Linked DNA regions of Sus scrofa. Each later gene encodes a partner of the first gene's protein in a complex. Links are inferred from orthologs where the notes say so. Each region holds a gene or a part of one and is shown in the gene's direction. Other genes may lie near its edges.

Region 1 (4,275 bases):
CTGTGGTGCAGTGCCTTGCAGGAACTTTCTGGGCACCATGATTCTCCAGATAGCACCTGCATTTCCCCTGGCACTTCACCTAAGGAACTTCCTTTGCAGGGAGCCCAGTGAAGAGCTCCCAGCCCTTCTGAGAATTTGGTGAAAGCTGTGGACCCTTCCCCTGGAAAATGTGAGAGTACTCAGATGCATTGCACATGCACACTTGCTGTTTGTACTGATACCTAGAAATTATGGCTCCCTGGATTGGACTCCGTGAAGTCCTGGCTGCCCTGCACATTCCCTCTGTATCAGTCCTGAGGGGCAACTTGCTGTCCTTACAGGGTACACTAGGGTAGTTTCCATACTGCTGTCTCCCCCTACCTTTCTAGCCACTGAGTATGGCTTCTTTACTTTTGCCCTATGTGACCCTGCCCCCAGTGTTCACATGCCAGCCCTGGCCTTCCCCTGACCCCCAACCAGGAAGCCCCCCCACCTCACCCCGCCGGGGCCTGTGTATTCAGCACCCTACCTGGGAGCTCAGAGTAGTGCAGGTGAGAACCAAGGGACAACAGACCAGAGCTTAGATCCATTGGCAGACACTGGCCTGTTACCAGGGACTGAGATCTGGGGCCTAGGGGAGGAAGGGGCTAATCTGGGTAATACTTTTGAGAAGGACACTGAGACAGCCCTCAGGTAGGGTCCTGGCTGGGTAGACCTCATTCTGCAACGGGGTTTCTCAACCTTGACACTTGACAGTTTGGCTCCAATGATTGTCGCCGGGAGGGGGTGGGAGAGGGGGCTGCCCTGGGTACTGTAAGGTGTTTAGCAGCATAATTCACCTCTACCCGCACAATGTTAGTACCACTTTTTTTTTTTTTTTTTTTTTTTTTTGCTTTTTAGGGCTGCACCCTTGGCACGTGGAGGTTCCCAGGCTAGGGGTCAAATCAGAGCTGTAGCTGCTGGCCACAGCCACACAACTCACAGCAACACTGGATCCACTGAGCAAGGCCAGGGATTGAGCCTGTGTCCTCATGGATTAGTTAATGGCTGAGCCATGAGGGGAACTCCACTAGTAGTACTTCAGATCAGGACAACCACAAATTCCCTGGGAGAAGCGGGGGGGGGTTCTGCAAATCACCTGAGGTTGAGAATCTCTGATGTAGAATGTTCTCATGTTTTTAAAGGGAAACACAGTTATGGGAGGTGAGGTTAGTGGCTAATGCCTGTCCTCTTCCCCTCATGGAAATCAGGGTGGGAGGATGGATTCTCTCCGAAGCCTAGGAGAGTTCTTGCTTCTCTTAAAGCTGCCCAGCGTCCGTTTGATTCGAAATCGTGGCTCGAGAGCCTTGCCGGCCACCGAGGAGAAACCTGGCGTCCTTGAGTTTTCCCAGAAGTGGTTCGGGTTTCAGGGAGGCGGCGGTTATGGGTGGCCGGGCAGCCTGCCTGCCGCCCCCGCCCACCGCCGTAGCCGCGGCCAAGGCGCCCAGGTTCACATCGTTCCTCGCTGGCCCGCCGCGCAGAATGTCAAGAAGAGCCGAGGCCTGGGCCTCAGCGCCGCCCGGCGCCCCTGTGTGCGCACCTGGCAGCCACAGGAGCTGACGCCGGCTGCGGGCCTAGCAGAGCGCCAGGCATGCCTTCCCCTGGGGAGCCGCCGCCGCCCTGGGCCTGGAACTCCGAGCCCGCGGACGTCGGGCCGGGGGCGCCGCCTCTCCCCAAAGGTAGGGGCGCGTGGTTGCGACCCGGATGGCGCCCCGACTGGAGGGTGGTCTTTACCGGCGCCTGCTGGTGGGGCTTGGCAGGCTGGCAACCTGGTGATCCTTCTCCACTCTTCCCCTGATATACTCGCGGTTCGCTGGGGAGCTTTCTGGGGTCTCCTGTCTGATCTGAACTCAACAAGACATAGCTTGCTACACTTGCAATGGATTACAGACGCTTCTTAGGGTGGGAGGAAGCACTCTTCAGTTTCCAAGTTCTCCTTGTCGTTGGGGTGTGGAGTGCTTGTTTAAAAGGTTTTTTGTTTGTTTGTTTGTTTTTGTCTTTGTTTTTGTTTTTTGCTAGGGTTGAGACTTTCTGCTTCTCATCTCTTTTGGGGTCTTTCCACAGGTGGCTCTGTTGCCACCTGTAGCAACAAAAGAATCTCAGAATTCTTTTTTTCTCTTCCTTCCTACTTTATCTCCTGTTCTTTGTTCCAGAATGGACACCCACCCCCTTATTGGGGCTTCCTTTTTTGTTTTTCTCCATCAGACTCACAGGCCTGCTATCCTAGCCCAAGAGGTGCCTGGCCCTTGAGGTCCTGGGGTGCTGCTCCTGGATGCCTAGGGTGTTGGGCGGTGGTGGTGGTGGGGATAGGGATGGGGGAGGGAAGACGCTGCTGCTCTCTTCTGAGTCTGTTTTTTAAGTTCTCAGTAGTGTTTCTGTCTGCGACAATGGTAGGTACTGGAAACAGACTGATAAGGCAGGCTGAGATTGTTTGGTGGTCACCAGTGCCTCTTCTGGCCCAGGACCAGTCCTGGCTTCCTGCTTTGGATAGCCCCACGCTTTGCCTTGGCTATTCAGTCTTACCGTACCCATACATGTGCGTTTTTCAGACTCAGGGACTGGCAGCCCTAGCTAGGTGTTTTCATTTATGGCCATGTGATTGCTGGAAGCAGGTGTTGGAAAGGAAGCTTGCCCCACTGGGCAGATGTGACCCCTCCCAGGGGACCCTTCACTAGAAGCCTGGTCTGCTACTCCTCTCTGACTGGTTTCTGGGCTGGCGCTAAGGTGTTTTGTGAGGTGAGCGCATGTTCTTGTTTGCAAATGTTCCTCTGCCGACTATTTCAGTTCTACTCTGACAACCAAGGAGGCTAAAATTAGTTCTGGGGAAGGAAAAGAAGACTGCTTGGAAACCCAAGCCCTTGGCTGGAGGATGGAAGAGGCTGTTTCCTGGGGCTTGTGGCCAGACATTTCAGAAGATGTGACCAGACCAGCTGTTGTCTGTCCATCTGAGGAGAGAGGGAGGTGCCCCTGCTTGCCTCCTAGACCCGAACCAATCAAAACAGAAGGCTGATTTGGAAGCTGCTGCTCTTGAGTGTTGATGCCAGGATGTTTTTTCCTTCTGGCTTGTGTAGTGGTGCACGGTGTTTTCAGGTATGAGGACAATGCTTTTAATGCGCTGTGTCATTGACAACCCTCTGTTCCCCTTTCTCCTCACTGATTCAGAAAGGATGCATGAGATCTCAGATCTCTGGACTGGCAGCCATGGGTTAAGAAACCCTTACTTTAGGTACTGTTTGGGAATTTTTTTTTACCCGAGTTTGTTTATTTATTTATTTGTCTTTTTAGGGCCGCACCCTCAGCATGTGGAGGTTCCCAGGCTAGGGGTCTAACTGGAGCTGTAGCCGCTGGCCTACACCACAGCCACAGCAACCCCAGATCTGAGCCACGTCTGCGACCTGCACCACAGCTCACGGAAACGCCGGATCCTTAACCCGCTGAGCAAGGGCAGGGATCAAACCTTTGGTCTCGTGGCTGCTAGTCACATTGGTTTCTGCTGAGCCATGACGGGAACTTCATCTTTCATACCTGAGTTTTGGCAGTCCCTTCAGATGCTCACAAGCCAGGCAGACCAGGGTCTCCCTGGGAACTGTTGACTTGAGTGGGTGTTAGAGTTGAGCTGTGTGACCCTAGCCTCGTAAGTAGAGGTTTGTGTCCTGGTGGCAGAGGAGATCAGGCTCTGGGGCTTGGAAAACAGGGGCAAAAAGTTAGAGGCGAATTCTGGTTTTGTTTCCTACCAGGCTGGCCCCTCCTGTGAACGCCCCACCTGAGGGTGGGTCCTGTAGGGCTCTTCTGGGGAGACCTGTCTCTCCTTCCCTGAAAACCCCCTCCCAGACCTTCCCTTATCCAGGGATCTCCTAGTTATACCCTGGTATACCTGGCTATAGGTGAGGTAGTAGTAGGCACTTTGGCCATAACTTTTCCCATTTAAGATTTTGTTCATTTTTAGTTTTATAAATAACATACCTAGATTTAGTTGCAGAAATTTAGATGTTACAGATAAAACCAGGGTCTCTTTTACCAGACCTGTCTGCCGTCTGAGTCCTCCAGAAGTCAGCCTTCTCAGGTTGGTGGATATCCTGCTAGACATTTGACCAGTGTATCTATAGAAGTACTTAGAGAAATAGGGTTTTTTTGGTTGGTTGGTTTCTTTTTGGTCTTTTTTGGGCCGCACCTGCGGCATATGGAAGTTCCCAGGTTAAGGGTCGAATCGGAGCTGTAGCTACTAGCCTACGCCACAGCCACAGCAATGCCAGATCC
Region 2 (4,297 bases), on another chromosome or scaffold:
AGTTGTTGCCCAGAGCTGGCTCAAAGCCTAGCATGCTTCCTGCCCTCCTCGGCAAGCAGTACTTCTGGAGCTGCACCCTTCCCATCCAGCCTCCTTGGCAGTGTCCCAGGGGATAGGGACAGCAAGTTCTGTCCAGACCCGGCCACTGGGCCTTCCTGGATTCAGCCCACCCCCAGTAGGGATGGTGCATGCTGGGATCTCTGATCTTGCCTGCGCTGGCCCCTTGTTCATCTTCCTGAACCTCCTCCACTCACTGTAACCCCTTCCCAGGAGCCCCACCAGCTTGGGAAAACTTTGTCTTTAAATACTCCTCAAAGTTGACCCCCAGAATATTTTTCTGCTCATCCTTTGTTGTGATCAAGCCGCAAGTGATGGAAATGGACAGAGTCTGAATGTGGGCACACTGTTCTAAAATGTCGCAGACCCCGGAACCTCACAGGCCCAGACTGCGCCACAGCTTGTTGGCTTCCTTAGGCCAGGGGGACGTCTCCTGGACATGTCCTGGCCTCAGAGCTCCCCCCTCCCTGTCCTTTGTCTCAGACGGCACGGTTCTCCTGACTGACAAGTGTGGTTCATGCAGCCGCCCAGCTGACATGAGTATGAGCAAAGATCAGCCCCATCTGAGACCAGTGACAGAGCTCCTCTGGGATCCCGGGGCCAGCAGGTCTCACCGTGTAAGTGGTGTTCATAGAGACCAGGCCAGGATCTCTACAGGGCTGCCTCCCTAGCTCCTCTCTCAGTCAGACCCAAGGTGGAGAAGTGGCAGCCAGAATGCAGCCACCCAACTGACGGGCTTACGGTGACTACCACGACCTTTAGCACAAATCGCCTTAAATCTTACAACTCTCTCCCGAACCAGAGACTCGGGAGGTGAAATGACTTGCTCCAGGACACACTTGTGGGGAGTAAGTGAGGGACCTGGGATTTGAACCCGAATCTGGTCTGACCCAAAGTCTCCATAACCTCACTGACTTCTATGTGCCACATTCACCCATGAGCTCACTGGACAGACGAGAAACCGAGACACAAGGTACTTGAGCCACAAGTGCTTATTGCAGTTGCACAGGAAGTAGGCTTCTTACTAACTCTGACATAAGGTTCCCACCCCACTGCCCACACTAGGTCCCAGTGGTTAGCAGGGGTCTTCTGGGAGTTTTGTGCTGTTTTTTCTATATTTGGAGGACTTTTGGGTCTTGTTTGTTTCCTGGATTCTTTGTTCCCCTGGCCCAGGAGATGGAACATATGTCACCCAGTCTCAAGATGCCTCTGAACAGAGCTGGCAAGGAAATGAGAAAGGATCCTAATTAGGGGGCGATAACCCCACAGAGAAATTCAGACTCTTTGCAGCAGGCCTTGTCCTTCCCACAAGTCTTGTGTGTTTGTCAGATGTTTATAGAGCCTTCATTAACGCAGCTCTCCCTCAGATAAGAGGCCTGAACACAGCATCAAGGGCCAGATAAGAACAAGTGGAGGGCACTCCGGGGACGGCGGGTGGGTGAGAGCCTGTGAACGGGCCTGGGCGCGTGGGGTGCGCGGTGGAGAGCTTGTGGGCAGGACAATGCGTGCCGGCTCCTTCCGGGCTCCTCCCCGCACCCGCTAACACACTGCAGCTGCCGCAGTCTCTGAAGCAGGGAGAGAGCACCCCAAGATGTGTCGCGGGGTGCTCTGGGTGGCCCTGCCTGTGGCGCTCTCCCTGCTGGTGTGCTCCACGCAGGGGAAGCCACTGGACAGCCGGGTGAGGGCCTCGGCTGGGGGAGATGCCCACCGCCTGCTAGGAGGGGCCGGAGGTGAGCAGGAACGGGGCACCTTCGACCTGAGGATGTTCCTGGAAAACATGAAGGTGGATTTCTTGCGCAGTCTCAACCTGAGCGGGGTCCCCTCCCAGGACAAAACCCGAGCTGAGCCACCGCAGTACATGATTGACCTGTACAACAGATACACCACTGACAAGACGTCCACCCCCGCGTCCAACATCGTGCGCAGCTTCAGCGTAGAAGGTAGAGTCAGCCCATCCGGGCGCCTGGTGTGGGGGCGGGGGGCTCAGTGGTCCATGGATGCTGCTGCCCAATATGGCGGCCAGTGGAAACATGGGACTCTTGATGTTTCCATTTATGTTAATTTAAAGGAAATAAAATTAATAATTTAGTTCTTTGGTTTCACTAGCTTGAATGCAAGTGCCCAGCAACCATGCATGGCTAATTGCTGCCCTATAGGACAGTGGCGATTATAGAACAGTTCCCTTACTGCAGACATTTCTATTGGACAGCTCTGCTCTAGAAGATTCTCCCTCCCTGGGCCCAAAGCCACATTTAACACCAGAGGTGCTGAGGAAATGTCAGCTCCCTTTCTTCCATCCTTTCTCCTACCTCCTCTTTGCCATACTGTCCCCTTCCTGCTTAGACAGCTTATTTACCATCCAACCAACTGGTATATTTTTGAACACCGAAAGAATGTCTGCTTCTCTCTCATCAAAAGGTGTTTAAAATTCAGATTAATTCCTTCAAGAGAGAAACATTGGAGGACAACTTATTTTCCAAACATTAAATAATTATCCTGACTTAGGCAGACTAGAAGATAATAAATGTCAACTTAGGACTTAAGTCTACTAATTTATTTGCACAACGTAGGTGACAAGATCTTGTGAGCAGGGGAGTCAAGGCTTGCAGACCCTGAGGGAACTTGCCCAGTTCACATGTTAGTTAAGCAGCTGACCGCTTAACTAACATTAGTTAAGGCTGCCCAGCTCAGCCTTTTTCTGCAGCTGCAGCCTCTCTCTAACCAGCCAAGCACTCGGGGCCTCTTCTCTCCTGGGCTTGGGACCTGCAGACTCCTAACAGATGTATGCCTTATTTAAAGGATGCTGTGGTCATGCCACGTGCCCAGCAAGACTGTATTTTCTTTTTTTAATTTCCTTTTTTTTTAAAATTAAAGTGTAGTTGATTTATAATATTGTGCCAATTTCTGCTATATTTTCTGATGTCCCTGGAGTTTATATGAACTTGCTTGATTTTTAAACGCTGGCTTAATATTTTTTTAATGCGGTCTCAGGTCATCCAGATGCTGCTAATGTCTCACTGGTGCATGTCTGTAACCTCTGCTTTAGGGGAAGGCTGGGCTCTCTTGGCTGGACCAAATCACCAAATCACCAAATCCCATAGTCTAGGAGTGCAGTGTTGGAGCTATATCAGTGACTTCCCACCCACACCCCGCCCCCAGCATTGTCATTGTCCCAGAAACAAGTGATCTGATCCCAGCTCTGCCTGTGGCCAGCACTCCTATGGAGGCCAGTTATGCTTCCCTTCACACAGCCTGAGTGCAGTTCAGGCAGGGAGGCCCTTGTTTTCTAGATGTCTGATGCGCTCCCATGGCCATGTTCATAGTGGGTCCTTGAAACACTGCTCATAGACTGCACTCACTACTCACATATGCTATAGTGCCTCGCCACCCACCACAGGAACTAGGATGGCATGTCCACTCTGGGTCAGGGGACACAGAGATATATGAAAGGCATGTGCTAGGGTGCATACATAGGCAAGAAGGACACAGAAATATTGAGTATCTGCTGTGAGCCAGAGACAGCGTAGGGCAAGTCCCATGTACCTTCTTGTCAAAGCCTCACACCGACCCTGGGAGGCTGGACAGATGAGCCCCATTTTCCAGATGAGGAAACAGGCCCAGAGGAACTCGGGAGAGTCAAGATTGGCACTCAGTCTGTCAGGCATGGCCAGGTTCACAACAGCACCCAGTCTTCCTTCACGTTGGCACATAGTAGGAGCTCAAAAAACACAACACTTCTCTCTTTGTGACCGAACCATGGTATAATAAATGTGCTGGTGGCCATGCAGCAGCCTGGGGAGTGGGAAAGTGAGACAGTTGTGTAGCTAAAAGGCAAGCCCTCTTTGAGCCAAATGTGACTAAGCCATTGAGGTTAATATTTTTTTTACCTCAAACATTAAAAAAAAATCGGCGTTACCGTCATGGCTCAGGGGTAACAAACCTGACTAGGATCCATGAGGTTCGATCCCTGGCCTTGCTCGGTGCGTTAAGGATCCAGCGTTACCATGAGCTTTGCTGTAGGTCAAAGATGCGGCTTGAATCCAGCTTTGCTGTGGCTGTGGCGTAGGAGGGCAGCTGTAGCTCTGATTTGACCCCTAGCCTGCGAACCTCCATATGCCACAGGTGCAGCCTTAAAAAGACAAAAATAAATAAATAAATAAATAATCACCTACCTTCATTTTGCTCAGAAGTTACAATTCTGGGTGATTTTTATACCACTTAGATGCTGAGAGTTTTAACA

The links. The genes of interacting proteins can lie anywhere in the genome.
Region 2: the proteins of ACVR2B (region 1) and GDF2 are in contact, whole or in part, in a crystal structure (PDB 4FAO), measured with the Homo sapiens proteins. The link is inferred for Sus scrofa from reciprocal best matches to the Homo sapiens genes ACVR2B and GDF2. Residues at the interface, in NP_001097.2 of Homo sapiens: Asn35, Glu39, Cys49, Glu50, Glu52, Lys55, Leu57, Tyr60, Ser62, Arg64, Val73, Lys74, Cys77, Trp78, Leu79, Asp81, Phe82, Asn83, Glu94, Gln98, Val99, Phe101; in NP_057288.1 of Homo sapiens: Arg333, Ile346, Ala347, Pro348, Lys349, Glu350, Tyr351, Glu352, Lys397, Ser399, Pro400, Ile401, Ser402, Val403, Leu404, Lys406, Gly410, Val411, Pro412, Thr413, Leu414, Tyr416, His417.

Annotation. Positions count from the first base shown.
Region 1 is NC_010455.5:23,241,521-23,245,795, forward strand, and holds the start of ACVR2B (activin receptor type-2B), read left to right. Parts: upstream 1-1,464; 5' UTR 1,465-1,609; coding exon 1,610-1,697; intron 1,698-4,275. UniProt on the Homo sapiens protein: Transmembrane serine/threonine kinase activin type-2 receptor forming an activin receptor complex with activin type-1 serine/threonine kinase receptors (ACVR1, ACVR1B or ACVR1c).
Region 2 is NC_010456.5:88,510,587-88,514,883, reverse strand, and holds the start of GDF2 (growth/differentiation factor 2), read left to right. Parts: upstream 1-1,467; 5' UTR 1,468-1,648; coding exon 1,649-1,997; intron 1,998-4,229; exon of another isoform or gene 4,230-4,297. UniProt on the Homo sapiens protein: Potent circulating inhibitor of angiogenesis. Signals through the type I activin receptor ACVRL1 but not other Alks. Signaling through SMAD1 in endothelial cells requires TGF-beta coreceptor endoglin/ENG.